Linked DNA regions of Sus scrofa. The protein of the gene in region 1 purifies or fractionates together with the protein of each later gene. This does not show direct contact. Links are inferred from orthologs where the notes say so. Each region holds a gene or a part of one and is shown on either strand. Other genes may lie near its edges. The genes, in order: STK4, RASSF3, VAPA, MAP1B, RASSF6, MAP1S and SLMAP.

Evidence for each region.
Region 2: the proteins of STK4 (region 1) and RASSF3 purify together in Homo sapiens (affinity purification with mass spectrometry; 5 studies listed by BioGRID and IntAct, with this or other methods). This does not show direct contact. The link is inferred for Sus scrofa from reciprocal best matches to the Homo sapiens genes STK4 and RASSF3.
Region 3: the proteins of STK4 (region 1) and VAPA purify together in Homo sapiens (affinity purification with mass spectrometry; 3 studies listed by BioGRID and IntAct, counting the BioPlex papers as one, with this or other methods). This does not show direct contact. The link is inferred for Sus scrofa from reciprocal best matches to the Homo sapiens genes STK4 and VAPA.
Region 4: the proteins of STK4 (region 1) and MAP1B purify together in Homo sapiens (affinity purification with mass spectrometry; 5 studies listed by BioGRID and IntAct, with this or other methods). This does not show direct contact. The link is inferred for Sus scrofa from reciprocal best matches to the Homo sapiens genes STK4 and MAP1B.
Region 5: the proteins of STK4 (region 1) and RASSF6 purify together in Homo sapiens (affinity purification with mass spectrometry; 5 studies listed by BioGRID and IntAct, counting the BioPlex papers as one, with this or other methods). This does not show direct contact. The link is inferred for Sus scrofa from reciprocal best matches to the Homo sapiens genes STK4 and RASSF6.
Region 6: the proteins of STK4 (region 1) and MAP1S purify together in Homo sapiens (affinity purification with mass spectrometry; 3 studies listed by BioGRID and IntAct, with this or other methods). This does not show direct contact. The link is inferred for Sus scrofa from reciprocal best matches to the Homo sapiens genes STK4 and MAP1S.
Region 7: the proteins of STK4 (region 1) and SLMAP purify together in Homo sapiens (co-immunoprecipitation; 3 studies listed by BioGRID and IntAct, with this or other methods). This does not show direct contact. The link is inferred for Sus scrofa from reciprocal best matches to the Homo sapiens genes STK4 and SLMAP.

What each region holds. Positions count from the first base shown.
Region 1 is NC_010459.5:47,407,466-47,411,797, reverse strand, and holds part of STK4 (serine/threonine-protein kinase 4), read right to left. Parts: intron 2,399-4,332; coding exon 2,231-2,398; intron 1-2,230. UniProt on the Homo sapiens protein: Stress-activated, pro-apoptotic kinase which, following caspase-cleavage, enters the nucleus and induces chromatin condensation followed by internucleosomal DNA fragmentation.
Region 2 is NC_010447.5:29,110,814-29,114,998, reverse strand, and holds the end of RASSF3 (ras association domain-containing protein 3), read right to left. Parts: intron 3,883-4,185; coding exon 3,733-3,882; 3' UTR 1,105-3,732; downstream 1-1,104.
Region 3 is NC_010448.4:98,215,944-98,220,275, forward strand, and holds part of VAPA (vesicle-associated membrane protein-associated protein A), read right to left. Parts: intron 473-4,332; coding exon 299-472; intron 1-298. UniProt on the Homo sapiens protein: Endoplasmic reticulum (ER)-anchored protein that mediates the formation of contact sites between the ER and endosomes via interaction with FFAT motif-containing proteins such as STARD3 or WDR44.
Region 4 is NC_010458.4:48,486,384-48,490,715, reverse strand, and holds part of MAP1B (microtubule-associated protein 1B), read right to left. Parts: coding exon 1-4,332. UniProt on the Homo sapiens protein: Facilitates tyrosination of alpha-tubulin in neuronal microtubules. Phosphorylated MAP1B is required for proper microtubule dynamics and plays a role in the cytoskeletal changes that accompany neuronal differentiation and neurite extension.
Region 5 is NC_010450.4:69,790,275-69,794,606, forward strand, and holds part of RASSF6 (ras association domain-containing protein 6), read right to left. Parts: intron 3,189-4,332; coding exon 3,049-3,188; intron 1-3,048.
Region 6 is NC_010444.4:60,018,725-60,023,056, reverse strand, and holds part of MAP1S (microtubule-associated protein 1S), read left to right. Parts: coding exon 1-1,681; intron 1,682-4,332. UniProt on the Homo sapiens protein: Microtubule-associated protein that mediates aggregation of mitochondria resulting in cell death and genomic destruction (MAGD). Plays a role in anchoring the microtubule organizing center to the centrosomes. Binds to DNA. Plays a role in apoptosis.
Region 7 is NC_010455.5:39,704,800-39,709,131, forward strand, and holds part of SLMAP (sarcolemmal membrane-associated protein), read left to right. Parts: intron 1-732; coding exon 733-850; intron 851-4,332. UniProt on the Homo sapiens protein: Associates with the striatin-interacting phosphatase and kinase (STRIPAK) core complex, forming the extended (SIKE1:SLMAP)STRIPAK complex.

The DNA.
Region 1 (4,332 bases):
GATGAAATGGTTTTTCTCTTCCCCACTATAAGCCCCCAAATTGCAATGAAAGTCTGAGTATCTCAAAGAAGGAAGTTATGACAATTAGAGAAGCTGATAGAGCTCTCCTTCCCCCTCTTCCTCCCTCTGATTTCCCTCTCTCTCTCTCCCTCTTTCATCTGTACTCTCGTCCCATAAACCTCACGATATCCAGCAAGCTTTTTGGGGGTTTTGCTGACCAAAGTACACTGCCACTCAAAGTGAAAAGGCAAGACCAAACATCAACATCTTGAAGAGAACCCCAGCCCTGTAGCTGTCAAGTTTCCCTCTTCCCTAAAAGTTACCACCACCCCTGGATATAATAAGTGACTGCAGAGTTCCCGTTGTGGCACAGCAGAAACAAATCCAGCTAGGAACCATGAGGTTGCAGGTTCGATCCCTGGCCTCCCTCAGTGGGTTAAGGATCCGAGGTTGCCGTGAGCTGTGGTCTAGGTCGAAGACACGGCTCGGGATTCCGCATTGCTGTGGCTGTGACATAGGCCAGAAGCTACAGCTCCGATTTAACCCCTAGCCTGGGAACCTCCAGAAGCCGTGTGTGCGGCCCTAAAAAGCAGAGAAAAAAAAAAGTGACTGAAAGGAGGTCATAAACCTAGAAGTCCCCCAAATCACAAGAGAGTCATCAGCCTCCAAGCCACATTAATTCTACATACTTGAAAAAAAATTGGCCTACTACATGGCAATTAAATTCTACTATTTCCAAAAAAAATAAAACTATAGGAAATACTGTAGGTTCAGTTCCAGACTGCTGCAATAGAGCAAATCACATGATTTTTTCGGTTTCCCAGTGCATATAACAGTTATGCTTCCCCTATACTGTAGTCTATTAAGTGTGCAATAGTTTTATGTCTAAAGAAACAATGTATATACCTGCATTAAAAAAAATAATGTATTGCTAAAAATGCTAACCATCATCTGAGCCTTCAGTGAGTTATGATCTTTTTTTGAAATAGTAACGTCAAAGATCACTGATACCATATCAAATATATCAGCAATGGAAAAGTTTGAAATATTGCGAGATTTACCAAAATGTTGACTAGAGACGTTAAGTGAGCAAATGCTGTTGGAAAAATGGCACCAACAGACTTCTTGATGCAGGGTTGCCACAAACCTTCAATTGTTAAAAGCAATAAAGCAAAGTGCAATAAAACGAGGTATGCCTATATTATTTATCGTGTTTCCAATAAAAGAAGTACAGTTTCTAGAAAAAATAAAACTCTGCAATAAGCAGCTTACATTATATTCATTCAATCTAAAAATATAACCAGTAAATCTTCCCATCCTTCTCCACTTCTGCCCCCTACAAAGACGGAGCTTATCTTTGAGCACACGAATACTTTATTTTGTATATATATTATTTTCACACAAATACTTTTAAAAAAAACTGTTAGGTCTTTTGACAGAAGGACTACTTAATCAGAGGAGAGGAGGAGCTGGGATGGGCAGTCTGGAGAGGACTACGGAGCCCTTGAAGGCCGGGTTGAGCTCTTGCAACAGTGCTGTGACGAGGGGGGTTCTATGGTGGCTGAAGCCTGGAAACTGCTTAGCTATCAACACAGAAGGAGTTTCAATGGAGAATGACTCTATGGGCCCTTCATACTCCACAAGCGGATGGAGCCTGGAAAGCACAGAGCCTCCAGAACTCACTCATGTAAGGACGAGACAGGAAAAAGACAACAAATGAATCAGGCTGGGTGTTAGTGACATGAGTTCAAAAAAACAGTCTGCTTTCCTCTTAATACTATTATAAGAAAAACAGAAAACACTGCAATAAGCAATAACTGGTACTTGGTGAATACGGAATCGTGGAGACTGGGAAAGTGCTAAGCCCACGCCCCTGTATGAAGGTCAGGACTGCTCCTCAGCTCCAGTTAATGCTGTTATATTAAAACGCGAGAACCTGAACTATTAAAAACACACACAATGCACAAGTCAAACCAAGCATTTCTTGGCCCATGTCCTGCCAGAGGGCTACGAGTACACAATCTTTGGAATGGAGAGGAGTGGATTACACTTGAATTCATAAGTGACTACAACTAATGGAAGTGTACAACTGGAGTCTAGACTGACACTTATCAACTATTTAAAATTAATTCATTTATTGTTTGGTACCTAACCAAGTAAGTCGCTGAACCAACCTTCTAATGATCACTGGTAACTAACCACCCCGCTGATATTCTGTCCATGTTCTTACCCTCATTGGATGGATATCGGCATACGGCGGCTTTCCTTCGGCCATTTCTATGGCAGTGATTCCCAGTGACCAGATGTCTGCCACACAGTTGTACCCTATTTCCTGAATCACTTCTGGAGCCATCCAAAATGGTGTCCCTATCACTGTATTTCTTTTGGCCATGGTATCCTAAAATAGAAAGGAGGAAGATCAACACCAAGCATTAAAACTACTGGGAAAGAGAGTCCTGTCCAAACCAACAAGAAGACACGACTAGGACTTGAAATACACACAAAAACCATATTAAAGAAGCATGATCGATCAAGCAGCCACAAAAGAAATTCAAATGACACAGACATGTAAAAGAGTCTCAATTATTTAAACATAAAAATAACAATCAATTAATAAAACCACTAAAATGAAATTGACAAAAATTAAAAAGATTAACAATAACTAGTACTGATAATAGGCAATTTGGCAACATTTATAAAATTTAAACGTCCATATCCTTTGACCAAAATCAGTTTCTGAGAGTTCCTGCTGTGGCGCAATGGAGTAAGAATCTGACTGCAGTGGCTCGGGATGCTGCAGAGGCACGGGTTCGATCCCTGGCCCAGCTCAGTGGGTTAAGGATCCGGTATTGCCATAGCTGTGGCTTGGATTCAATCCCTGGCCCAGACACTTCCATATGTCACAGGTACAGCCATAAAAAAAAATCTGTTTCTAGAAATGTGTCCTATGTATAAGTACCCCAAGATATATGCATAAGTATTTCAGAAATATTTGTAATAGAAAGGAGAAAAGAAAAAGGAAACAACACGAATTACCAACTAAAGGCAACAAGTTAAGTACAATAAATATCCACACAATGAAACACCACATTAAAAAAAAAGGAGCTAGGAGTTCCCGGCATGGCTCAGTGGTTAACAAATCTGACTGGGAACCATGAGGTTGTGGGTTCGATCCCTGACCTTGCTCAGTGGGTTGGGGATCCAGCGTTGCTGTGAGCTGTGGTGTAGGCCAGCGGCTACAGCTCCAATTGGACCCTTAGCCTGGGAACCTCCATATGCCACGGGTGTGACCCCAGAAAAAACAAAACAAAACAAAAGAGCTAGATACATTTTTTTTTAAATTTTATTGCTGCCTCAGCAGCATATGGACATTTCTGGGCCAGAACTGAATCTGATCCACAGCTGCAAACTACACCAGAGGTGCAGCAACGCCGGATTCCTTTAACCCACTGCACTGGGCCAGGGATTAAATCCATGTTTTTGCAGTGCCCTGAGCCAGTGCAGTTGGATGCTTAGTCCACTGCACCACAGCAGGAACTCCTAGATACATTTTTCTGACATGGGAAAAATGTACGAGACACACTGTGAAGCAAAAATATTAGATTCAAAATTACATATAACATAGCCTTGTCTTTGTAGAAGAAAAGTAATGATCAGAACAATAATTTAAAAAAAAAATAACCAATAATAATAAATATTGCTGTTATATGGATAGCGAAAAAATCTCCAAGGAATATACATCAAACTATTAACAACAGCTCTATCTAGAAGACAGAATCACTAAGGACTTTTACTTTCTACCTGCATATTTCTGTAACACTTGGATGGATTGTGTGAGCATGTACTACATGTGAAATCAAGAAATGAAAAAGAAAAAAATATATGTGTGTACATTCATTTGTCCATATATAATTTCTTTTTATAATATACATGTTTTATATAATATTATATACATTAGTGGAGTTCCCATTGTGACTCAGTGGTAACAGCAAACCCAACTAGTATGCATGAGGTGGCCTCGCTCAGTGGGTTACAGATCTGGTGTTGCCATGAGCTGTGGCATAGGTCGCAGACACAGCACGGATCCCAAGTTGCTGTGGCTATGGTATAGGCCGGCAGCTGTAGCTCCAATTTGACCTCTAGCCTGGGAACTTCCATATGCCGTATAAAAAAAAAAAAAAGAAGAAGAAGTATGAAGCCAATTTGGTTTCCTTGGTAAGACTGCAATTGAGATAATATTAATATACTATTATAATATAATAGTATATTAATATATTAATAATAATATTAATATATTATTAATAGTATATTAATATTAATATAACATAATAA
Region 2 (4,185 bases), on another chromosome or scaffold:
CCCACGACACAGCTGTAACCAGAGCCACAGCAGTGACAACACTAGATCCTTAACCTGCTGAGCCACGAGGGAACTCCTTGAATGCATTTTTGACTTAGGATATTTCCAGTTTATGATGGGTGTATTAGAATGTAACCCCATCGTAAATCAAGGATAATCTCTGAATACAGACTTTTCTCTTCTTTCAAAAACACAAAACTCCTTATTAGGATCACCCGACAGAGGCCCAAAACAGTGTATAATTCTTGCAAACTAATTTTGCAGCAGAAGGACATTCATATAATTAATTATCAACTGGTGAGAAATTTTGAAAAGAAACCTAGGGCAGGAAATGAACTCCCTTTAGGAGATAAAAATTCCAAAACATTTCCACTGCATCATGAGTAGTAACCCAGGCCACACTTGCAAACTAGATTCTTCTGGATATTTTGGCAAAAAAGATTTTACATAGAGCCATCATTTTTATTGTAACATTTTCACTTATAAAGCAGCTGTGGCACTTGAAAGGGTTTTTTTTTCCCCCTTCATGGACTGGTAACAGCCATGCGCCTACCTCACTACCTCACTAGCACCTCTAGGGGGCAGTGCAGCAGTAAAAACACTTGCCTTCAGCAGGCTTGGAGGCCTATGAGAAGCAGTCCTGCACCCATACCCATCCGGTGGGTCACATTGACCACAAAATGCAGATACTTGAATGTTGAAAGTGGTCTGTTCTAAGAATGGGAGACCTCAGAGCAGGAGTGGGTGGTGGAGAAAGAGGATTTCTAAGGAAGGGCCAATGTTCTACTTGGGTAGTGGTCACAGGGCAGCCACTTTACAGTAATTCTTTACATGGTTCTCATGCTTTATACCCTTGCAAATGCATGTATATGTCATAATTGTCTCCTGTGGGCAGACACTCACCTATGGTTATTTTCCCCAGAGGATAAGGCAAAGGAAAAATGACATTTGGGAGAAGAACTGTGCCCCACTCAAGCCTAATGAAAGTTGTCAGGTGCCGGCCCATGTTCCTGTGTCCCCAGTTACCTGCACAAGTAGCTCCTCCCACTCCTGTGACTTTCTTTACCTGGTGCATTACCATAAATAAAAACACACAAACATCAATTAACAACTTCAACTTTTAATAATGGAAACAATTTGCCATTCCAGAAACAATTTTAGAGAAGAAAACTCTTCCCCATAAAAATAAACTTAAATTCATCAAAATTATAAATATTATAATTTTTTTACTTCTGTGATTTAAAATGCTCCCCTGCAATACGACCCCTTCATTTAACCTCGTTCCTGTACCATCACATATTGAAGAGAAAACAGTATTACAGCAAAGCTTAATAGTTTAACATCAGAATTTGTACAATGATTTTAAAAAAATCTTTGGCCTCAGTGGCCTTTTACACATTAAAAATGCTGCTGCAGTCGCCAGTGTTTTGGGAAAGACCGTCGGTCTTCAAGAACCATGAACCAACAGGATTGCGACACAGTTTTCCAAATTGCGACTTGTAGTGCACATGACAGTGAGCGAGGTCCCGGATAATGCAGATGAGGATGCCTAATTTAGACAATCTACTTCAAGTAAAAAAAAAAAAAAAAAAAAAAAATTCACAGATACCCATCAACTACTATATTAAGGTTCTAACAGTGTCTGAATCTGAGAAACATAAGGCTTCACAAAATAAGCGCTTACTGGGATGGGTAATTAAAAGACCAGGTGGTTGATAACAGTATCCTCACACCCAAGCCATTCTCTGAATAGTAAAACCAGTACAAAAATCATGAAGGCATTCCCTGAACAATGAAGGTAAAGTGTTAGATGACAATGTCACTAAAACCTCATTAATGCACGAAAAAGAAGTTGCATGCAAAATTAAACAAGAGGTGCCATACATATTTTATAGCTAGTTCTACTTTTTTTTTTCTTTCCAACTTTCCTTAAAAAGCTCAGGAAGATATGATTGTCTCAGTAATGCATGTGGCAAAGCAGAAGCGACACTTACATCTGCCTCCAACAAGAAGGGTGTTCTCTGAAAAGTCAGAAGGGCCACCACAAGGACCAAAGAAATGCAATAAAAAAAAGCCACAGTTCACTGAAGAGGCAAAGAACTGAAGCACCTTGGAATTTCAAAAAGAATCCATTAGGTGTCACCAAAGTGTTAACAATTCCTTGGGAATTTATAAACAAACAATATCTAGACTAAAAACAGACTGTAAGGCCACTCCAGAAGCACAGCACAACTTTCCTGTTGTTTTCAGATTAACTGCTGTGTAAAATGAGGTTATTTCACTTGCTCCGAGGAAGGCTCCTATTGCACACGCACTCTTTGGTTTGCAGGAACATGCACTTGTGTGAAAACACCTCCATAAAGAACCCCCTCCTGTGTGGTCAAGTGGGGGGGCTGGTGGACGCTACCCTCCTCCTTACAGTCAGGTGGTCACCCTTTGGAACTGAGGATCTGACAGTCCTGGGTCTTTAACCCACACCACTGTTCCGCTCTGTGTAAGATGAGGCTTCAACTTGTAAAACAAAGGGAGAAGGGAAAGAAGTGAGTACAGGGAAGGAGGGAGGAGCGAGGGGAAAAAAAAAAAGGGAAGCCGAGGCAGAGGAGGGAGGGATTGTCACCAAAGTGTGCCGGGAGCTCTTCACCGGATCGACCTCCCGGCTGCTAATAACTGGGGGGCGGGGGGGGGGGGGGTGGTGGCAAAAAGCCGCCTCCTTCCCAAACTCCTTTTCCACTTTGAAAAGGACCTGGGAGGAAAGCTGTGACGTCACAGGAGTCATCGCAGATGCTCAGGGCCCACGGCCCCACGGCCCAGAGAAGCGGCACCCATCGGACCGCGCACCCCGAGAAGAGAAGGCCGAATGGGGGCTGGCAGCTGAGAGGGCAGCTCTGTCCCGTGTGAATATCCACGCTGGGTTCCCTGCTCCGCTGCAGTCAGCCCCTCCTTCCGGTCTAGCTCCTACTTTCTTTGGTTCTGTTCCCACATTTGACTCGCCAGGAAATCAAGCCATAGACAGTGGGTTTAAGGTCTCTAAACTGAACGTCTCAAAACGGAAAGCGTTTAACTCATCGACAAGCAAATTCACCTCCTCCTCTACCCTCCACTCCTGGCCCAAACCACCGTCCCTCAGGGCTCCCCGCCTCCACCCACCCTCTTCCAAACTTACTCTTCACTTTCTTGGTCAGACTCCTCCAGAATCCTTCACCAACTCCTCAGAGGTCCTAGCTTCCTGTGCCCTTCAATTCCCACAGATTGTTTTCTCTGACATTTAAAACACCAAAACCCCCTAAACCAACAGGTAGTTTCAACATAGGATAAGTATTCCAACCGATTCCTTGCTAAGCTTCCACCGAAGCACCGGCACAACCTTCAGCTTCACATCCTCATCACATCCTAAGGACAACGAGCTAAAAGAAGAAGAAAAACAAAAACACCACCCAAGAGTCCATGCTTCAAAGCCCCCCAAAATGCTCCAGATGAGACTACAGGTTCACAGCTTGCCGAGAGGTAAGACCGCGGTGCCGAAACGGAACAAGCGTGCAGGATCCCTCCCGGAGGGCGCCGAAGTGCTGCGTGACCAGCGTGGGGAACTAGGCCTAGAAATTTCGTTCAGGGGAAAGGCCCGAGCATCATGGGGCAGGAAAACCGCCCTCCGACAAGAGAGACACCAGCTGCTGGGTTTGCACGCAGGTCCCACGCCGTCCCCGAGCCCGAGGGGCAGGGAGCCCCCACGCGTTACCCGGGCTTCCACGCCTCGCCGAGGGCTTCTTCCAGCTTGTGTCTGTAGGCTGCGTAGCGCTCCTTCAGGTTCTGCAGCTGCTCATCTTCTTCCTTGTCCAAGATCCGCAAGAAATTCTGTAGCTCTGGCAGGCTGAAGGCTTCCCACTGTGAGAGGACACAAAAACCGAAAAATGCCAGGTGGTCAATTCAGCGTCAAGACTTAGGAATGCGGACCACGAGCCCAGGGAGGTGACCAGAGTTCTCCGAAGTCCTGGTTGGCAGGAGGAGCCTCCCCACTAGCCCTGCCTTCCTCTCCCCAGGTGCAGCCCTAAAAAAAAAAAAAATCTGGCGTTGTCACTGCACTGCTCTGGTCACAGCTGTGGTACAGGCTTGATCCCTGGCCCAGGGCACAACCAAAAATAAAGCACTTGGTCCTGCTTTGAGATGGAAAGGCATTTACAGGCAAGA
Region 3 (4,332 bases), on another chromosome or scaffold:
CTAACTCACACCACCCAAATCTCAAGTACCCACGTGACTGGTGGCTACCCTGGAACAGCACCATGTGGCAGCATGGGACCAGGGCACAGACCTTGAGGGCAGAACGAGCAAGAGGAAGCCCAGGACCGCTGCTGAGAAGGGAGCGTGTGGGCAGTGAGAGGCTGGGGCCCAAGGCCAGGACAGAAACGCACTTGGGGGAAGGAAAAGGAACTGGAGAGGCTTCGGTCAAGGCTGACATCAAGCGGCCCCTCCCACCCACGCCTGGCCCCACTCAGGCCATGCTATGGCAAGCACTCACCCGCAGGTGCCGGTTCTCCTCCGACAGCTTCACCATCTCTCCCTGGAGCCGCTTGCACTCCTCCACCAGCTTCCTGGTGTCCGCATCGCTGAGGGAAACACTGTGCGGCTTTGGCACCGGCCCATCCTGCTTGGCGGCGTTCAGGGGCGCAGCTTTGCTGGGCTCCATGTCGTTCTGCATCACAAAGACAGTGGATCGGAGTTCTTTTAAAGGACTCAATCTTCTCACAGGTTTTAAACAAAAATTTAAACTCCACATCCTTCTCCAAAAAATTATTTAAATGAAAAGTCTTCCCAATTTTCAATTTCACTATTAGGAAGTTTTTAAAATACCAAATGTTTAGTCATCTGTCCACCTTCAGGACTAAGTTAGTGAGTGTTGGCAGGCGGTCAGGGAGGTCGGCAGGAGCAGCACACTCCCTCCTGTGCGCCCATGGCCCTGAGCACTCACTCCACCACAGAGCAATAGTGGACCCGGAGTGTCCTCCCTACCAAACCTCAAAGGCAGGGAGACAAGAGTCAGCTCTCTGTACACTGACCCCTAAATCCAGCACTTGGGCCAACAGCAGTTACTCCGTAAGTACAAAAAGCGCCACCAACCAAAATCCAAACATGAAGTTCATTGTCAGTGCTCTGACTCTGCACTTCCAAGGAGGCTCTGGAGCAAAAGGGGAGTTCACTGCAATCCTTCCAATAAAATGAGACTATCCAAAAAGAACATTTCAAAGGAAACCTAACTTCTACCAATGGAAAAAAAAAAAAAAGCTGAAGGATAGAAACACTGAAGGGGAAAATAATGAAGACAAAGATGTGTCATGGGAACAAAAGGCGAAAGTCAGTTTCATGACGTTAAGGACACACGACCATAACTGAGAACACGCCTGCTTATGAATTCAACACGGAAATCACACTGGTATTCAAGCACTTTTAAAATTGTGAGCCCCAGGGGTTCCCCTTGTGGCTCAGCGGTAATGAACCTGACTAGTACCCATGAGAATGCAGGTTCGATCCCTGGCCCTGCTTAGTGGGTTAAGGATCCAGTGTTGCCATGAGGTGTGGTGTAGGTCACAGGTTCGGCTTAGATCTGGTGTCACTGCTGCTATGGCGTAAGCCAGCAGCTGTAGCTCCATTTGGATCCCTAGCCTGGGAACTTCCATATGCTGCAGGTGCAGCCTAAAAAGACACACACACAAAAATCTGTAAGCCCCCAATCTTCAGTCCTGCCAGAACTCACATGCATGACACCAGTGGCAAAGGCTCAGAGACACACACAGAGGTCAGGGTCCTGAGCCTGTGGCCTCAGCGCCCTTTCCCCAGAATCATCCACACCATCACACACACCCTACCCAAATGCATGCACCAAGTCTCATCCTTAACTTTTCAGATGGAAGGGTAGAAACATCTAACAAAAACCATTTCCAAAATCAACTATAGCATTCCACAGCACTCACCAGTCTAACTGTAGGTTACACACCTGCCACAGCACCCAGCTCCTGACTTTATATTAAGTATATACTGTTTGTTCAAGGGACAAAACTACTATTTCTTATGAAGAGAATGTGATTTGATCACTGCTGTCTAAATTCATGTAAAAATTACTAGTATTATAATGAAGTTCCGGTCAACATTCTGAGTTTTCATTTTCTTCGGAAGCTTCCCAGCTGTGACGAGTTTTTAGGAAGTCTGCTTCAATGTTCTCTGTCTTCTTCTCCCGTCTTTCCTGTTGTCCGCTCTAACCTCCCGTCGTCCTCACTGATCCCATCACTATTATTAAAAATTCTGTTTTAGATATATTTTGCTCTCTACCAACTCAGAACATGAGTACCCATGAGAGTGGGTGGGCTTCAGAAAACAAGAATTGTGCAAATGGAGCAAACCTTGCTCTAAAGATGAAGGCAAACAGGCAACAGCAGGGCAACCGAGCAATCTTCAGGTCTGGGCAAAAATACCACAGAAAGTTAACTAAAAAATTAAGAGGAGGGTACAAGAGGCCAACCAGAGGGGAAAAAATTAAAACGAGGAATCCTCAAACTCTTCACGACTGGCTTTCAATTTTTAAACAAATTCTTAAAACTCCAGAAAATTGAGGATTTTGAAAGAGAGAGGAACTCACCACCCTCTCATCAACCCAACATAACCATTATTTATATATTATCTTCCAATATTTTCTCATATGCATGGGGTTTTTGTTTTTGCTTTTGTTTTTTTTTGCTGTTTAGAGCCGCACCTGCAGCTTATGTGAGTTCCCAGGCCAGGGGTGGAATCGGACTCAATGAGCGAGGCCAGGAATTGAATCTGCATCCTCGTGGATACTAGTCAGAGTCGCTGCCACTGTGCCACAATGGTAACTCCCTCATATGCATAGCTTCTAAAATCAGCATACATGTAATGCTTTTATCATTCATGTATGCAAACTTATTTTAATTATTTTATTTTTATTTTTAGGGCCACAGGAGCAGGCCAGGGGTCAAATGGGAGCTGCAGCTGCCTGCCTACACCACAGCCACAGCAACGCCATATCTGTACCATGTCTGCAACCTACACCACAGCTCAGGGCAATGCTGGATCCTCAACCCACTGAGCAGGGCCAGGGATCAAACCCACATCCTCATGGATATTAGTCGGGTTTGTTAACACTGAGCCACAATGAGAACTCCTTAACTATTACTTTAAATGACATGATGTCATTAAATATTCTATCCTGTGCCTTATCAAAATGACTTAAACACCTCACTCCTGTTAGTTGATGGGTAGCTTCCCACTCTTTGGGATTTTAAATAACATTAATCAATATCTTCTCATGGTGGCAGAATTAGATTTTTCTTTTTATTGAAATGTTTCTCAATGTTATTATGTTGCTTTTATAAGGAAAAGGAGAAGAAACCAATTTGAGTGTCATAACCAATTTGTGGAGCATAAATGTGGGAAGACTGGAATGCAAAAGATACAGTGAAGCTTAAACACATTTCAAAAATGAGCCAAATAAGTCATGGAAAAGTTACACTGAGTGTACTTATATCATGGACTCAGTGTCATTCAGGCCCCTACAAACCAGTCAACATAAAGACTAGATGCAAAGAAGTCTAATTTATTTACAGATTAATTTATTTAAAGTAGAAGCACACATAACCTAACCAGGATGGGGGGTGGGAGGGTTGAGGGGGTGGGGGGACGAGCCATTTGAGTAGCAACAATCTGAAGAGCCTGATGGAAACACTAAGGCTGCTGAGACTAAACTACACTCGTCCATCCAGGAGCGCCACAGGGAGGTTTGGCTCCAGGAAAACAGCGTGTTCGGTGAGAGGTGCTTCAGACTGGTCCAGAATGAGGAGACTGGTTGTTCTGAGAACCATGAAACAAGCAAACTGGAGGGACTCGACATGCTGTGACTTAGGCAATGATGAAGAGCAACATGACATTAACACAGTATCTAAAACTGCAACTAGAAGAAACTGAAGATCAAGGTCGTAAAAAAAATGATTATTTTGTACAATTTCCGCTATTCTATATTATTTAGCCTATCTGCAATAATCCCCCTCCATCTATGAGTTGAACTTACTTCTCTGTTTTTTTTTTTTTTCCCAGCCATCTCCAGAATTTCAGTTCCAATATTCTAAGTTATTCCTTTTGGAGATAACTAGAATATGCAAGGGCTTAGGGACTAGACAGAAAGGAAAAGGTAAAATATAAGGCAAAGTAGGGTTTTGCAATGAAACCTTGGGAGGAACAAAGGAACAAAAGAATATAAACCTGGGGTACATTCTCGTGACTCCTGTATGAGCAAGGGATCAAATGTCTGTCCAGGGAAGCAAAGCCAAGAGCTATGGTAGGAAATTGTCAGGAGGCTCAAATAAGTCCTTAACGTGGGAAGAGGTTGTATTTGAATAATAAAGTCACTCAAGATACATTTTTACTCTAAACAACCCACTTACTCTTTGTCTCTAGAATCATGATTCCCAGAAGTAAATAACTAAAATCACAAAATTTTTAAAGTATTAGATATTTAGAAAAAGGATCAGATTTTTTAAAGCCTTA
Region 4 (4,332 bases), on another chromosome or scaffold:
CTTCTGATAGGCATAGCTGAAGTCGCCGGGTGTCTTCCCACCACTGTCCTTCTCCATGACCGATGTGGCCAAATCTCTACTCAAGGCTAGATGGTGTGGCATCGTATCAAATAACATCGAGGCACGGAAGCCATAGGGCTCTGCGGATGCTGCATCCGTCGGTGGAGGAGAGGCAGCGTGGCAAGCGGCAATGCTCTCCTTGACTGCAGAGGTAGAATCTGAAAAACTCGGGGAATATAAAGGAGAGGACTCCCTCGGCGTGAGTGGAGAGATGTCGGATTTCGGTGAGAGCTTCTCTCCTTCCAGACTTTGCACTTTTTCAGAGGTGAGGGAGGCATATAAGGATATATCTCGGGGAGGAACAACATCGGATAGAGTATCTTCTTGGAGAGGAGAAGCTATCTGAGAAGGGGTGTGTGCGGAAGAGGTGGATGGGGAAGCCTCGACCTGGGATACTGAGATGAGCTCAGAAAGATCATTATCTTGGGTGTAGGACGGCTCTTCCGTTGGTGGGATCTTATGTGACAGACTGGAGTCCTGCATGTCAGAAGGACTATAGTCCACCTCCGTTGGCCCATTTTCAGTGATGTGAAGCATACCTGCACCCACTGTAGGGTGATCTGGAGACTGTCGGCTGAAGTCCATAGCAAGAGAATGCTCAGGGGATTCCTGGCCAAACTCAATAGACATGGAGGACTGTTCAGATCGGTGATCCTGAACTGGTGTCCTAGACTTGGCTGTTTTAGGGGAGAAGTCTGGCGGAGAAATTGACATTGGTCTGGGGCATTCTTCTTTAGATGGAGACATTTCTGTTTCCTGGAAAGTGGTGGGCGTTTGCACGACAGACACTGAAAGGGAGTCGTCTACTTCGGTGGAATGTGGGGAACCGACCTCCGCATGCAGCGAGGGGGACACGTCATCTGTTGTTGGCTCTGGAAATGAGCTCGTAGCCACAGAAGCTGTGGAGACCGAGGCCACTCCCTCCATGTGAGAGTATGTGTCTTCTGCCACACCCTCGTCAACAGGGGTAGCTGACTTGTCTGAGACAGTGCCTTCAGAAATGGACATCTTAGTGTCTTCCTTAAAAGATCCAAACTGACTGACATCTATCTGTGTAGGAGAAACATCTCCTAACTTCCTTTCATCCAGAGCCAGTCCTGACTGAGAACTCAGCTCCTCAACATCGTCAGTTTTCTTTTCTTGATCAAAATCTTCCTTTATTGGTATAAAGTCTGTGCTTTTCCCTTCCTCTTTGTCTTGGAAAAGACCAGTGGAAGTCGTGTCGGAAACTGGACTTATTTGGTCTGGAGAGCCTTGTTTTCCATTCTTTCCCTCAAAGGGGCTTTCTGTGTATCTACCAGGAGCCTTGTCGTCGGCACTTAGAAAACTTTCATATGCAGACTCGGATCCAATTAGCGGTGGGCTCCGTAAAGGAGACAAAACTTTCTCAATAGGAGACTCTGAGTCAGGCACAGGTTCATCCATGGGGCTTATGGAAGCCCTATCACTCTCATCTTTGGCATCACTGAATTCAAAGCTGACTGGGACTGCCGCTGGTTTTTCAATGGCTTCTGTGGGAAGGTGACCAGATTTCTCTTCAGTGGGAGACTGGTAGTAAGGTGTGTGGCCAGCACTGCCAGTCACAGACTGAGATGGAGACACCACTTCCAGGGTCTTATCCTCAGGACTGGCACAATGTTCTTCAACGACTTCTTGGGTCACCTCAGGAGACACTGGGGCTACTTCCGCCTCTGCTGAGACTTTAATCTCATTGGGTGTCAGAGAAAAGTTCACACTGCGTTCACCCAGAGGGGTCTTTTCTATGGGTGATGGCGGAGATGGACTCAGGGACGGGCTCTTGGGTGGACTAAGTTTTTCATCGGAAACTGCAGAGACGGTGTCTTTGACCTCCAACGTGGCACTGGCTCGCACTTCTTTGTCTTCAGAGCAGTAGGCATCACGCAGAGCAGATCTGCTAAATTTGTCTTCCTCCATGGATGAGGGTGGTGAGATGGTGGAGGCTGAGGCATTGTAATCCTTTCCATCAGTGGCATCTGTTTTTGACCCTTCAGACAGTCCGTTGAGTGATGTCACGGCAGGTTTGGCGTATTCCTGAGAATACAGTGAAGACTCGTATTTGGTGATGTTTACAAATTCTTGAGACGGGGACTCTGTCTCCTCGTTGTTGGTCTCATCACTCATCACATCTCGAGGAGTGGACATCTCATCCATGGGGGTGGGCTCGCTGGAGATCTCAATGGTGGACTGAGTGTAGCCGGAGGTGGCAGTGAATTCTTCGGGCTGGTCTTCCCGGTTCTCCTCATCAGAAGCGGTGGCCTCACTCTCCGAGCCACCAGGTAAGGTCTCGTCATGAATTGAAGATGCAGGTTCTCGGACAGGAGACTGGGCTCCCACCTGCTTGGCGGCTGTGGTGAGGAATCCATACTGGTCCTCGGCACCACCAGCCCCTGCAGCCTTATCGACCACGGCCATCACGTAGTCTTCGGCTTCAGCCTTTTCGGGCTCATAGTCTTCCTCCCTGGCATCCTCAGCTTTGTCCTCCTCCTCCTCGCCCTCCTCCTCCGACTGCTCAGCGTCTCCCTTCTCCAAGGCCTCGTCCATGTCTTCCTCTGCCCGGTCGTCGCCACTGGCGATGGACTCCCTCTTCTCCTTGATGTGCACGTCGGCCTCAGCCTTCGCGCTCTCCTCCTCCTCCTCCACGGGGCTGTGCTTGGATGTGCGTGTGCACACACTCTCCTCGCCATCCTCCTCCGGCTCCTCAGCCTCCTCTGTCTCCGCCTTCTCTTCGTAGTCTCCGGTCTCGGAAGACTCCTCAAAACCCGCTCCTTCGTCTTCAAATTTTTCAGTGTCTTCCACCCCCTGCTTCTCGACGGCCTCCAGCTCCTCGGGTGTTTGCTCGCATTCGCCCTCCCCCTCTGTGGTGGTGATTCCCTCATCGGGGGACTCGGCGGGACCCTTGATGACTTCGGTCTCTTTCTGGATGACATAGGCTTCGCCGGGCTCGGTTTCCTTCAGTTTCTCTTCATCTTCGATCAGCTCCAGCTGAGGCTTCACGTCTTTTGCTACGTCGACCTCTTCGGCCTTCAGCTCTTCAAAGTCCTTGGTCAGGTCCTCGGGGGAGGACATAAGGGACCTCTCGGCTTCGAGTTCTTTGGCGGGGCCAGCGGGCGCCATCCCAGCCGCCACGGCCGCTGCGGTGGCCACGGTGCCCAGGGCGACGGCAGCGGCAGCCTCTGCTGTCCTGCCTTCCTTCTTAACGACTTTAATCTTCCCCTTCTCCTTTGGCTTCCCGGCAGCAGCAACAGATTCTTTCTTGACAGGCTCTTCCTTCTTGGGTACTTTTGGTTTTAATGCAGCTGGTTTTTTTGCTTCAGATACAGGAGTCGTGGATTTCTTTGTGTCTTTGGGAAGCTTCTTGATTTCTTTTTTGGGTTCCTTTTCCTCCTTTTTAATTTCCTTCTTTTCTTCCTTCTTAACTTCCTTCTTGGCTTCCTTCAGTGGGGTTTCCTTCTTAACCTCTTTTTTGACTTCTTTTTTCTCTTCCTTCTTGATGTCTTTTTTGACTTCCTTTTTCACCTCTTCCTTTTTTGGTTTTTCCTCCTTCTTGATGGGTGTTTTGTCCTCCTTTTTAGCCACTTCTTTCTTTGGCTTTTCCTTTTCCTTCTCCTCCTTCTTTTCTTCTGGTTTTGCCTTGGTTTCCTTTTTCACTGTCTTCTCCTTGGCGACTTTGGGTTTAACGTCTGCACCTTGTTTTTCAGCCCCTTCGGCTTTGGCCAGAGGCAGCTCTTCTTTGCTGGGCACCTCCTTTTCTGTCACGGGAGGTTTGGTCTCAGTTTTCACTGGTTTGTCTTTTTTCACCGTTACTTTTTCTTTGCTTTCGACTTTAGGTGGCTTTTCTACCTGAGCAGCTTTTGTGACTTCAGGGGTTTCTTCTTTTGACTCCTTTCGCACGGCTTTGCTGGGAAGGGGTTTCGCCGCTGGCTTCAGACTCTCCCGGCTGTCAGCCCTCTGTTTCAGTTTCACCTGTTTCACAGCAGGGGTGGCCACCTGGCCAGTTAGATCCTTCTGCGTGGCCAGTGGCTGTTTCAGGAAGTCCAAATGCTTGAGCTTTTCCAGTCCTTCCAGAATATTGTATTGGGTGCTGTTGCCAGGAAACAGGACGCGGATGATTTTCTCTGCAGGGTTTGCTGGATGCCACACGATCAAGGATGAGACTGAAGTTAAGTAGGAAATTGGAATATCTATTTCCTGACCGTTAGGAAGGATTAGTTCAGCCTTGTCTTTGTTGGTGCCAGTCCACTGCTGCATAAA
Region 5 (4,332 bases), on another chromosome or scaffold:
TTTTATATCTTTTATTCCACAACTGCCTACTAGAGATATTAAATCGCTGATCCTGTGAGAGGAGAGGTGTAAGTTCTGCAGCCAGAAACCCCGTGTGGGAAAAGGAACAAGAAGAAGTGTCACAGAGTGAGTGTGCAGTCTCCTTCTCTACACAATTCCCTTTAAGGCTTAGAATTTAAACAAATACCATGTTAAGGATGGCAAACAGAGAGAGAGTGTCTAGGATTGGATTGAAACAAAGGACACACCTTAGGTGGCTTGGCACCCACGGGAATCAGAAGCCGAGAAAGAGCCATTTCAAATTATGCTGCCCCTTCCTTCCGAGGATTCTGTTGGTTCCCACAAAGATTAGCACATTAGCTAATTAATTAGAAGATTAAATCTGCTAATTAATCACAACTGAATCTAACCTTGATCATGTGTGTAAGAAGAGTGGGACCTTTCTCTGATAATTCTTACCCACCAGAAAAATCTGATACAATACGAGTGTGCATTTAACTTCAAATGTTCTCCCAGTAAGTCTCAGTACAATGGCAAAGGGCAAGCCAAGTTTTCTAGGATAGTCTTTCTCAATTTTAAACTAAAGAAGATAATTCCTGTTTGATTCACAGCATTGTTCTGATAAATAATGAAAAAAGGCACATAGATTCCTTGGAAAACACAAAATAAGGATATTAATTTATCCTCTTCTGCAGAAGAAGGAAAGGTATTGACTTACCTTGTCTACCTGGGCTCCTGAAACTCATCCCCAAGTTCAGGGTTTCTAGGAAGTGTTTTGAATTTTAATTTGAGAAAAAAAATATATATATATATTGGGATATCCATTCAAAATCCTGATGGCTTAATGTATAATACAAGTAGCCTACTGCATCTCCTTAACATCTTCCCACAGTGTTCAATAATAATCATTTTTTTGTGATTCAAATAATTAAAATGCATTCAAAGGAGCTGGCTACTCACGGAAGTTTGTAATAAGTTCTTAAGTAATACGAAGAATGATGGCTAATTTTGCCAAATTCAAAGCTGATACAGTTTCCTAAAAGGAGGGCCCAGGGTTAATTTCTACTTCTAAATGATGCTCCTGGTCATTCAGAATCATTAGCCCCATCAATCATCTAGTACCTGAAGGTGAGGGATGCAGGACTTCACCAGGCTGCCTCAGTCTGTGGTCTCTCTTCTGCTCTTTCATAAGTACTGGGCCCCTTACCCATCTTTAGTTTGGATGGGTAACCAGTCAACAATGGGAGATGGAGAGACAGTTCACCCAACAGAGCAAAGGTAATTTAACTACCAGGATTCTGCAGGTTTCAGTCAATACTGTATTTTGCATGCCCTCTTTGCGCCCTGGGATAGAGATGCTCCTTATCCCGGAGGATTTCACAGGCTAAACGGGGAGGCAGGTGCATAAAAATACAATTAACAGCATGCTCAGAAAGTGATATAGAAAAGTGGTAGGAGTTACCGTTGTGTCTCAGCAGGTTACAAACCCAAGTAGTATCCACGAGGATGCCAGTTCGATCCCTGGCCTTGCTCAGTGGGTTAAGGATCCAGTGTTGCCATGAGCTGTGGCATAAGTTGCAGATGCTGCTTGGATCCTGTGTTGCTGTGGCTGTGACGTAGGCCTCAGCTGCAGCTCTGATTCAACCCCTAGCCTGGGAATTTCTATATGCCACAGGTACAGCCCTAAAAAAGCAAAAAAAAAAAAAAAAAGGTGTTACTGTACCAATGTACCTACTACTGACTGAAGGGTCAGAAAAGCCTTTCTGACAACTTAGAATAGATTTACAAGGAGATCCTGCTGAATAGCATTGAGAACTTTGTCTAGATACTCATGTTGCAACAGAAGAAAGGGTGGGGGAAAATGTAATTGTAATGTATACATGTAAGGATAACCTGACCCCCTTGCTGTACAGTGGGAAAATAAAAAAAATATTAAAAAAATAAATTAAAAAAAGAAGGATACAAAAAAAAAAAAAAAGAAAAGCCTTTCTGGAGAATATGCTACTGGCCAAATCTTAAAGGATTGGTGGAAGAGTCTAGCTAATGGGTGTCAAGAAGTAGTAGGCGATTAGGAAGAGAATCAGGAAAATAAGAAACTGACATGTGTAGGGAATTACAAAATGTTCAGAACTGGTGAAGCCTCCTGTTTGGGAAAGAATGGCAAGGTGCAAATCATAGCAGGACTTCAGTGTTTTCTCCAAGGGAAAAGGGGGGCCTCTCTCAAGGTGATACCTGATTTTCCTTCATTCTGGCCAAAAGTGAGATGGAAGAAAAAGTCCTGGGTGCTCTCTCCATCCTTTTAGAATTCCAGTCATCTATTTATGGATGGGAGATGGATGGAGAGAAGGCCTGGTACCTCCAAGTAAACACAAAAGGGAGATGAATTAGAGAATCAGAGGTTAAATAGGGAAGAAGTGAGGCAGGAAGACAACAAATATTCATAATGCATGATTCCTTTGGGAATATTTATTAATATTTCTGAGAATTGTAAAGGATAATGAAAATATCAGTCCGACTCATATATTTAAGGTTCAGTTGCAAAAATCCACACAGAGAACTGTTTTGTGCACTTATTGCACTTCAAATGCACTTTGTCCTGATCCAGTTCAACAGGACCCAGCAATAAGATGGAACATAATTGTCTCCTATCTAGAAGGCAAGAAAAACCCTTTGTCCCAAGGAAAGAAGGAATTTAAATTTTATCCTCCCTGTTTTTGGTGACAAGTCCAGGACTAATGAAATCTTGCCTAGCTGTCTTTTCTAGGTAAAGAATGCAATCTTCCAGGAGAGGAGTGCAGCCGAGAGGGCAGAAGCTCTGGCCCCCATACACCTGAGGTCCAACCCAGTTCTGCTACATGGTAACTGAGAGTCTTGTATAAACTACCTAACCTCTCAGAGCCCTGGTTTCTGAATAACTGCTTCCTAGAGCCATGGGGATTAAGTGAGATGGTCCATAAGCATTAGAGCTTTCATCCTCGAGAGTGCACATAACAAGGGTAAATATGAAGATCATCTTCTAAGGAATTTAAACCATAAAAGATAGCTCACCTTTTGGAAAAGACATCCGGTGACTTTAGCGCAGTAAAAGATGGGATCTGCTTCTCATCTTGTATTTTCAGTTGTAGAGGGCGCTTTACTCCCCAGAAAATGTCCAACAGCCCTTCCACAATTAGTTTACCATCTTCAGTCTAAGGAAGAAACCAATCATCTCAAACATTGTTTTTGTATCATTTACAGAGGGAAAGGTTTTAACTGAAGATGTAGAAGTGAAGTCTGTCAGATATATTAATAGATAAAAATAAATTCTTGGGTAGGACTGTTTGGCTTTTAAATTTATCTACAGAACGGTTTTAGTTTTGATGCATTCTCTTATTTCTTAAAACAGCTAAAACCAGCCAAGTGGGTCATAATGACAATGACATGCCCACCAGGGGGCATAGTATGCTAAAATTTTAGCTTTCTGAACTCTTAGTTCTTCATTTAAGTGAAAGTTTAATTCTCTACTTCTATTTACCTTAAAATTTAAGCAGAATTAAAAACTGTACTGAAGTAGAAATCAGAAGAACAGCTATTGAGTAATTTCGTGGCTGTTTTCTCATTTCTGACCAGGAAAAGTATAGCTCGCAAAATTATTATGCAGAACAAGTGAAATAATACAGGTAAAGACAGTGTAAAATGCAAAACAGAAACTGAATATTTGAAAAAGATCAATAGTACCTGAGTAGTCTCCTTTAAGTCAGAAATATTATAACAGAAGAAAGAAATTCCATGCAAATAAAGAAAAATTAGTAAACATGGTGGAACACTTATTTTGTGGATGTAAATATTAATACCAAGGCACATTCTCATAGAACTTATTTTCTAATCTATTTCGCTTTTGTACATGTAGATGTCTGGTTTTTTTTTGGTTTTTTTGGTCTTTTTGCCTTTTCTAGGGCATATGGAGGTTCCCAGGCTAGGGGTGGAATCGGAGCTGTACCTGCTGGCCTATGCCAGAGCCACAGCAATGCGGGATCCGAGCCACGTCTGCAACCTATACCACAGCTCACGGCAACGCTGGATCCTGAACCCACTGAGCAAGGCCAGGGATTGAACCCGAAACCTCATGATTCCTAGTCGGATTCGTTAACCACTGTGCCACGATGGGAACTCCTACATGTAGATGTCTGTTATTAGTGTATTATTATTATAGGAAATTCAGAAAATATAGAAGGGATTCTCTAACTATCCAGTAACTACTATAACCTCCAGTAACTATTTGTTATTATGAAAAATTAATTACCAAGAAACATAAATGACTCAGTTCTTATTTGTAATAAAAACTCCAGACTC
Region 6 (4,332 bases), on another chromosome or scaffold:
CTGCCGGCCGAGCCCACAGTGCTCTTCCAGAAGATGGGTGTGGGCCGGCTGGACATGTACGTGTTGCACCCACCCTCGGCTGCTGCTGACCACACACTGGCCTCCGTGTGCGCCCTGCTGGTGTGGCACCCAGCAGGCCCCGCTGAGAAGGTGGTACGAGTGCTGTTCCCTGGCTGCACGCCTCCTGCTCGCCTCCTGGATGGCCTGGTCCGCCTGCAGCACTTGGGGTTCTTGCGGGAGCCTGTGGTGACCCCCCAGGACCTGGCAGGGCCTCGGCGAGCTGAGAGCAAGGAAAGCGTCGGCTCCCGGGACAGCTTGAGGCGAGAGGGCCGGGCCACGGTGCCCTCCAGGCCTGCCCAGGAGCGCCCCGGGGTGACCCGAAAGGAGCCCCCGCGGGCCGAGGCCCCTCGCAGGGCTGAAAAAGAAGCCAGGCCCCCCCGGGAGGTGAAGAAGGACCCCAAGCTGAGTGCCCCTCGGGCAAGGGAGCCAAGGGAGGTACGCCGGACGGCCTCCGCTGTGGTCAGCAGCAAGAAGGCGGGTGCCCAAGCTGCTCCCAAGCCCCGCAGAGCACCCAACACACCACGCCCTGGTGTCCCACCGGCAGAGAATGGGCCCCGCAGCCCTCCCAGCTTCCGATGTGGAGAGGCCAGCCCCCCCACAGAAGCCTGTGGCTCCCCAGCCCCTCAGCTCGTGGCCACCCCCAGCCAGGAGAGCAGCCTGGAGCTGGGGCTGAGCCCGGTTGGGGAGGATGGCGGCAGCTTGGAGGAGAAGACACTGGAGCTGCTGCTGGCCACCAACACCCCCCAGCCGTGCTCGCCCTCTCCTGCCGGAGCCCACCAGGGCCAAACTGAGAGCTGTGGGCCACTGTCACTGAGCCCACTGCGTGGTGGAGAGGCAGGGCCAGATGCCTCCCCCACAGTGACCACGCCCTCATTACCCGCTGAGGTGGGCTCCCCACACTCCACAGAGGTGGACGAGTCCCTTTCCGTCTCCTTTGAGCAGGTGCTCCCTCCACCGCCTGCCACCTCGAGCGAAGCCGGGCTGAGCCTCCCACTCTGTGGCCCTCGGGTGCGGCGCTCAGCCTCCCCGCATGATGTGGACCTGTGCCTGGTGTCACCATGTGAGTTTGAGCACCGCAAGGCCGTGCCCATGGCACCGGCACCCGTATCTCCTGGCAGCTCCAATGACAGCAGCGCCCGGTCCCAAGAACGGGCAGGCGCTCCAGGGGCCGAGGAGACGCCACCCACATCCGTCAGTGAGTCCCTGCCCACCCTCTCTGACTCGGACCCCCTGCCTGCTGGCCCCGGAACCGCGGACTCAGATGAGGACACAGAGGGCTTTGGAGTCCCTCGCCGTGACCCACTACCTGATCCCCTCAAGATCCCCCCACCACTACCCACCCCACCCAGTATCTGCATGGTGGACCCTGAGATGCTGCCCCCGGAGCAGGCTCGGCTGAGAGAGGGCCTCAGCCGTACCCGGAAGCCCCTCACTCGCCCCAGCCCCGGCACTGCCGCCCCCAAAGCCACTGCAGGGACTGCTGCCAAAACCAAGGGGCTGGCCAGTGGGGACCGGGCCAGTCGGCCACTCAGCGCCCGGAGCGAGCCCAGTGACAAAGGAAGTCGGGCACCCCTGTCAAGGAAGCCCTCGGTCCCCAAGATGACCACTCGAGGTTCATCTGGTAAGTGCCTGGGGGCTGGAGTCCTGCACTGGGCTCCCTGCCCAAGTCCTCCTGTTCCCTACTTGCTGTGTGGTCTTAGCTACTCTTCCTCCCCACCCCCCACCCCCAGTGGGCCTCAGTTTCTCCTATCAAATGGAAACTAGCCTGACTGTTTAAGCTCTTACAATTCCAAGGTGCTCAAGCAGTACTCTCAATGGAAAAGTAATGGGGGCACATCCATCATGGTGACTCTTTCCGTAGCCATGTTAAGCTACGGAAACAGGTGAAGTTTATTTTATTTTTTGCTTTTTAGGGCTGCACCTGCAGCACACGGAGGTTCCCAGGCTAGGGGTCCAGTTGGAGCTATAGCTGCTGGTCTATGCCACAGCCACAGCCGCGCCATATCTGAGCTGCACCTGCAACCTACACCACAGCTCACAGCAAGGCTGGATCTTTAACCCACTGAGCGAGGCCAGGGATCGAACCCACAACCTCATGGTTCCTAGTCGGGTTCATTTCCGCTGCGCCACACTGGGAACTCCCAGGTGAAGTTATATTGTAATAGTATATTTTATTAAACCCATGTGTGTCGAGGTTCCCAAGACCACCCCCAGATTTTATGATTGGCTGGGAGGACTCAGTGTGTGGTCATGCTCATGGCTAAATTTAGTAACAGCAGAGGATATGGAGCAGGATCAACATAGGGAAAGGCATGGAGGGAAGCCCCAGGGAAACCAGGCACAAGCTTCTGGAGCCTTCTCCCCGTGGAATCACGTACCACGTGGTGCATTCCCTGAGATCTGCACTGTGTCTGCGACAACATGTGGAAAGGGCCATCTACCAGGGAAGCTCCTTAGAGACTCAGGGCCCAGGGTTTCTATTGGGCCTGGTCGTGTAAGCACCCTCTGCCTCACACTCACACTAGAAAGTGTTCCTGGATCCAATTTTTAGACACTAGCCAGGTAGGCCACAGTTCCCCTCAATTCTGACACTGTATGCCTGGAGACAGAACCACATTCTACAGGTAAAGGGCTCAGTCCCACGAGCGCCCTCCTCTTTAGGTGCCAATCACTAGGCCAGGTTGTTACCTGTGCTTCTGTCCAACTGACTAAATCAGAGGTTCCCATGACCCCCTCACTGGGTTTGATTAATTTGTTGGAGTAGCTGAAAGAACTCAGAAAAACCCATTTGCTCCCTAGATTACCAATTTATTATTAAAGGATATTAAAGGATAGGAACAGTGAAGAGATATATAAGGCAAGGTTCTGAACAAGGGATCTTATGTCCACATGGAGCTTGGGGCCCTGCACGGTGGCACGAAGCGTTCTGTTTCTCTGATGTGGAAGCTCTCTGCAAAAGGGCCAAAGCCTGTCCTTTGGGGGCTTTTATGGAGGCTTTGTTACATAGTCATGGTAGACTAAATGTTTGGTCTGTGGTGATTGATTCAACCTCAAGCCCCTCTCTCCTCCCCAGAAATAGAGGGAAGGCCTGAAAGTTCCAACCGTCTATTCGCACAGTTGGTTCTGGCAACCAGGCCCCAGCCTGGAGTGGGATCCAAAGTCACCTTCATTAACATAAACCCGATTATGATGGAAAGGACTTGTTTTGAATAATGAGACACTTGTGTCACCTTTTTGGCCCTGAAATGTTTTTGGTAATTGAGGACGAGAAACCAAATATAACAAAAGATGTTCCCATTGCTCTTATTGATCAGGAAATTCCAAGGGTTTGGGGAGCTATGAGCCAGGAATTGTGGAAGAAGACCAAATACATCTAAGGATGACCAAATATATCTCCTTCTTGTAAATCACAAGATCACAGTCTGCTCCCCGGTGAAACAGACCCCTTACAGCCAAACAATCATACCTATTACAGCAGTTACACTTGCAGCAACATCTGTAGAACAGAGAGAACAATTGTACCAACACAAATAGGCCTGACATTTGGAGAAGCTGGTGTCGGGTAGAGGTCGATTTAAAGAAAAATGTCATCTGCTACTTGTTCCATATGGTAAACTTGTGTGCAACTATTTAGCACAGAAATCAGTAGGTGATTAGCCAGATTCAGCTCCTCCTCAGGCCAGGCATTTCCCACAGGCATTACATCCTGAGGAGGCTTTAGCTCAGTCTCCCAGTGCATTTGATTGGCAGTATCAGTAGTATTATAGGACCCATGCACATCAGGTTGAATCTTAGCAAGGCCAAGTTTGTACTGTATTATACCATGGTCATGGTACAGTTCTGTTTCATTACAGAACAAATCAGTAAGAATGACAGAGGTGTTCACTTTGCCTTCCCAATAGAATCTGCCTTTGCCCACATCCCAGATGTTATTAAGGACAGAGGTCGTGACAGTTGGCCTCCGTTCAATTAACTCCGGGTTCCAAGGTGACCAGGGACAAAGGTGGTCACCCTGCCTCAGCTCACAGGCTTCTACCAGAGTCTGGTTATAGAAGAGTCTGTGTTATAAAGCAGGGCCCACCTCCCTCCTGTGGGAAGAACACAAGTGGTACGTAGAATATTCCTCCCCCTACTAACTGTGCTGCAGGATGTGTTCTATTTCTAGCTTTCCTGGGGTGAGGGGTGGTCAGAGTGTCTGTAAATCACAGATGCCCCCAGAGAACTTGTATAAGCCTGGGGTGGGGGGGGCCCTAACACTCTTGTAGGTGTGTG
Region 7 (4,332 bases), on another chromosome or scaffold:
TAACAATTGGTTGTATAAAGCAGTGTTTTTGTATTGGGGCTAGAAACATTCCTCAGGTGTATGAGCTCTACAATAAATTGAAAATTTTTCTAATTATACCTTTTACCTAAATACTATTAAAAATTATTTGTCTTATAAAAGTGAAGTGGGTGGATGGACCTAGAGATAATCATACTAAGTGAAGAAAGAGAAAGGCAGATATCATATAGATATCGTTTATATGTGGAATCTAATAAAAAATGATACAAAAGAACTTTTTTACAAAATAGAAGCAGACTCACAGATTTCAAAATCAAACTTACGGTTACCAAAGAGGAAACGTGACAAGGAAGGATAAATTAGGAGTTTGAGATTAATATATATACACTACTATGTATAGAATAGATAACTAACAAGGACCTACTAGTACAGAAGAAGAAAATATACTCAATATTCTGTAATAACCTATATGAGAAAAGAATCTGAGAAACTATAGATATATGTATTAACTGATTGACTTTGCTGTACGCTGAAACTGACACAACATTGTAAGTCAACTATACTCCAATAAAAATTTTTTTTACAAAGTGAAGTGGGGAAAAAAATATTACTGAGGTTCAAGGTGTTGGGAATTTCTCTGAGGTATAACTGCAAAGTAACAGGAATTGAAAAATGGTCATATAAAATATACATTAAGGGGGAAAAAAGTAGTTATGTTCCTATATTAACAGATGTGTTTTGGGACTACTTTAGGTGAACTAGAGAAGTTGAGAAAGGAATGGAATGTATTGGAAACCGAATGCCGTTCTCTAAGAAAGGAAAATGTTTTGCTATCATCAGAACTACAGCGGCAAGAAAAAGAATTGCACAAGTATGCAAGAACTCTTTTTTAGTTTCAGAATATTTCTTTATCTTAAATTTTCATCTAAATTAAATTTAATTTTGATACTTAAATAGGTTTTTGGAACAAAATATTTAGCCAGGCTATTTTTGGCTATTTGGCAGGTTAACTATGTTAAATGACTACATCAGCATTTTTTTCTGCCACCACCATCATCCTACATCCTTTCCTTTTGGTGTACTCATGGAATACAGATTCATTAAATGCCCCTTCTTCCACCCTAAAGCCCTAAACAGACAAACAGCAAAGATCTATATTTAGTGACTGAACTTGCCCTTTAAACTAAATAATAATAAATTGCAAAAACTAAGTTTGTCTTTGTTTCTTGTGAATGATCCCTTCTGTTTATGAGGGTGATCAGAAGATAGCTGTAATAGGAGTTTCCGTCATGGTGCAATGGAAATGTATCCAACTAGGAACCATGAGGTTGCGGGTTCGATCCCTGGTCTTGCTTAGTGGGTTAAGGATCCAGTGTTGCCGTGAACTGTGGTGTAGGTAGCAGACGAGGCTCGGATCTGGGATCTGGCATTTCTGTGGCTGTGGTGTAGGTCAGCAGCTATAGCTCCGATTAGACCTCTACCTAGCCTGGGAACCTCCATATGCCATGGGTATTGCTCTAAAAAGACAAAAAAGAAGAAGAAGATAGCTGTGATAAAGAATTGATACTATTGAAAGATAAAATTCAGCCTTGGAATTTTTTGTTTGTTTTTGGTTTTGGGGTGGTTTTTTTTTTGGAATTTCAAACAGTTATATAAAGAGTGATAATGTATAAGATCAAAAATTCTTTAAAACCAGTTAAATATTTCCAATATCCAGTACCTTAAGGCAAACCAATGAATGCAGTAGATTTATTGCACCAAATTCAATAGAGTCCTATTTTTCATCAGCATTTGTTGTATAGTTTAAAATTTATTTCTTCCTTAAAAATTTGATCCATTACATGTTTTTTAATTTAAGCTCTATTTACATTCTAATCCAGAATATGAAAGTAGTATATGTTTATTATTGAAGCTATTTTTTTTATTCTTTTTTTTTTTTTTCGTTTTTTCTTTTTTTGCTTTGCTTGTTAGAGCTGCACCCACAGCATATGGAGGTTCCCAGGCTAGGGATCTAAATGGAGCTAGTACTGCCAGCCTACAACACAGCCATAGCAACGCTGGATCTGAGCCGTGTCTGCGACCTACACTACAGCTCATGGCAACCCTGGATCCTTAACCTACTGAGTGAGGCCAGGGCTTGAACCCGCAACCTCATGGTTCCTAGTCGGATTTGTTTCTGCTGCACCACTACGGGAACTCCAATTATTGAAGCTATTCTTGATTAATTCATCTCCCCTCCCACAGTACACCAAAAATGGGGTCATTGCTCTCTTGTTAGCTTTGTGTTTATACTCCTAAAGAGCATTAAGGTTAGCAAAAACTCAGTGATCAAGGTCAGTTCCCATAGGAAACAAGCTTTAGGGAAAAAAAGGACTAGACTTATCAACATGAGTTATCAGAAAATAGTAATCTCATTATCTCATAAAAACAGGGACAACTGTAATATTAGTTATATATTTAAAAAATCAAGAACCTGGAGTTCCCGTCATGGCGCAGTGGTTAACGAACCCGACTAGGAACCATGAGGTTGCGGGTTCGGTCCCTGCCCTTGCTCAGTGGGTTAACAATCTGGCGTTGTTGTGAGCTGCGGTGTAGATCGCACATGTGGCTTGGATCCCGTGTTGCTGTGGCTCTGGCGTAGGCTGGTGGCTACAGCTCCGATTGGACCCCTAGGCTGGGAACCTCCATATGCCACGGGAGCGGCCCAAAGAAATAGCAAAAAGACAAAAAAAAAAAAAAAAAAAAAAAAATCAAGAACCAGTTGAAGGAACAAGGTGTGCTGACTTATTCTCTAAAACTCCTTATTATACCATATGTGCTCAATATCAGTATTTTTCAGGCATTTTTTTCTCTTACAATGTCCTGTCTTTCCATAGTCTGTTCTATGTGCATTACTTTTGAATGTTAATTAATAATAGAGAATAAGACAAATGCATGTTTAAAGCAATTTCAGAATATGAATAGGACAAAATAAAGACCTGAAACATAAATAAATAAGTAAATAAATAAATGTGCTCACACAGGCATACACATACACATGTATGTTCTCAAGTTCTTCATATTTGGAATTCATTTGGAGCCATTTAGTTTTGTATTCTATCAAGCCAGAAATACTGATATTTGATTACCAGTATTATCTTACTTTTTTTTTTTTTTTTTTTTTTTTGTGACCACCTCTACGGCGGCATGTAGAAGTTCCCAGGCTACAGATCAAACCCAAGCCACAGTAGTGACAACATCAGGTCCTTAACCCACTCTGCCACCAGGGGACTCCTCTTAAATTATTCTTTTTTGAAATTTTTGATATTTTAGGGGTTCAGACTTGATCCCTTAATTTTGAGATATGATTAATTGGAATCTGGCGATTGTTAAATGTTATTTTTTTAATTCAAGTTTTGTTTAGTTTGTAAAATACTCCTTATGAATTTAAGTCATATGGTTTAAAAATATTAGGCACCAGAAAGGTGAAATATACAAAACATTGATCAAGTTATCTATCTAAATTCACATGACTATTTAAGACATATTAATTCTGTTTTTTAAACTTTTCTGGCTTAATAGTTCTCTAAATTTATTTGTGGAGCACCCCCAGAATATAAGTAGTATTAAGAAGCTAGTCTTCCTTTACAGGGGTCTTACATGCCATTTAGTGCCTAGCCATACTGTCCTGACATTACACTCACACCCTAGGATCTGCCTAGCATCCAGTCAGCATGGGAGTTATACGCTATAGTACTTTGGTTACAATACTGAGACTGAGTCTTATGATCCATCCTAAGAGTGTAAAACTGCCATCTAGATGGGAGCCAAATTCTTCAATGTAGCTACACTATACAGGTCTTTTGTTCTTTATTGTCTAATATTTAGAAGGAAGTGAACAAAGAATTTGTGTTCATGCCTCTCAAGCTGTTTTCCTAGAGTGTAAATCAATTTTTTTTTTTTACATCAAGTTGTAAAAGTAATCATAGAGTTTAAGCTGGAAAAAGGAGTTCCTTTGTGGCACAGTGGGTTAAGAATCAGTGTTGTCACTGCTGTGGTTCGACTTTGATCCCTGGTCAAGAAACTTCCACATGCCGAGGGCGTGGCCAAAACAACAACAAGAAGGAGAAAAAAAAAAAAAAAAAACAGGAGTCCCCGTCGTGGCTCAGTGGTTAATGAATCTGACAAGGAACCAAGAGGTTGCGGGTTTGATCAGTGCCCTTGCTCAGTGGGGTAAGGATCCGGCGTTGCCGTGAGCTGTGGTGTAGGTTGCAGACGTGGCTCGGATCCCGCTTTGCTGTGGCTCTGGCGTAGGCTGGTGGCTACAGCTCCGATTCAACCCCTAGCCTGGGAACCTCCATATGCCACAGGAGT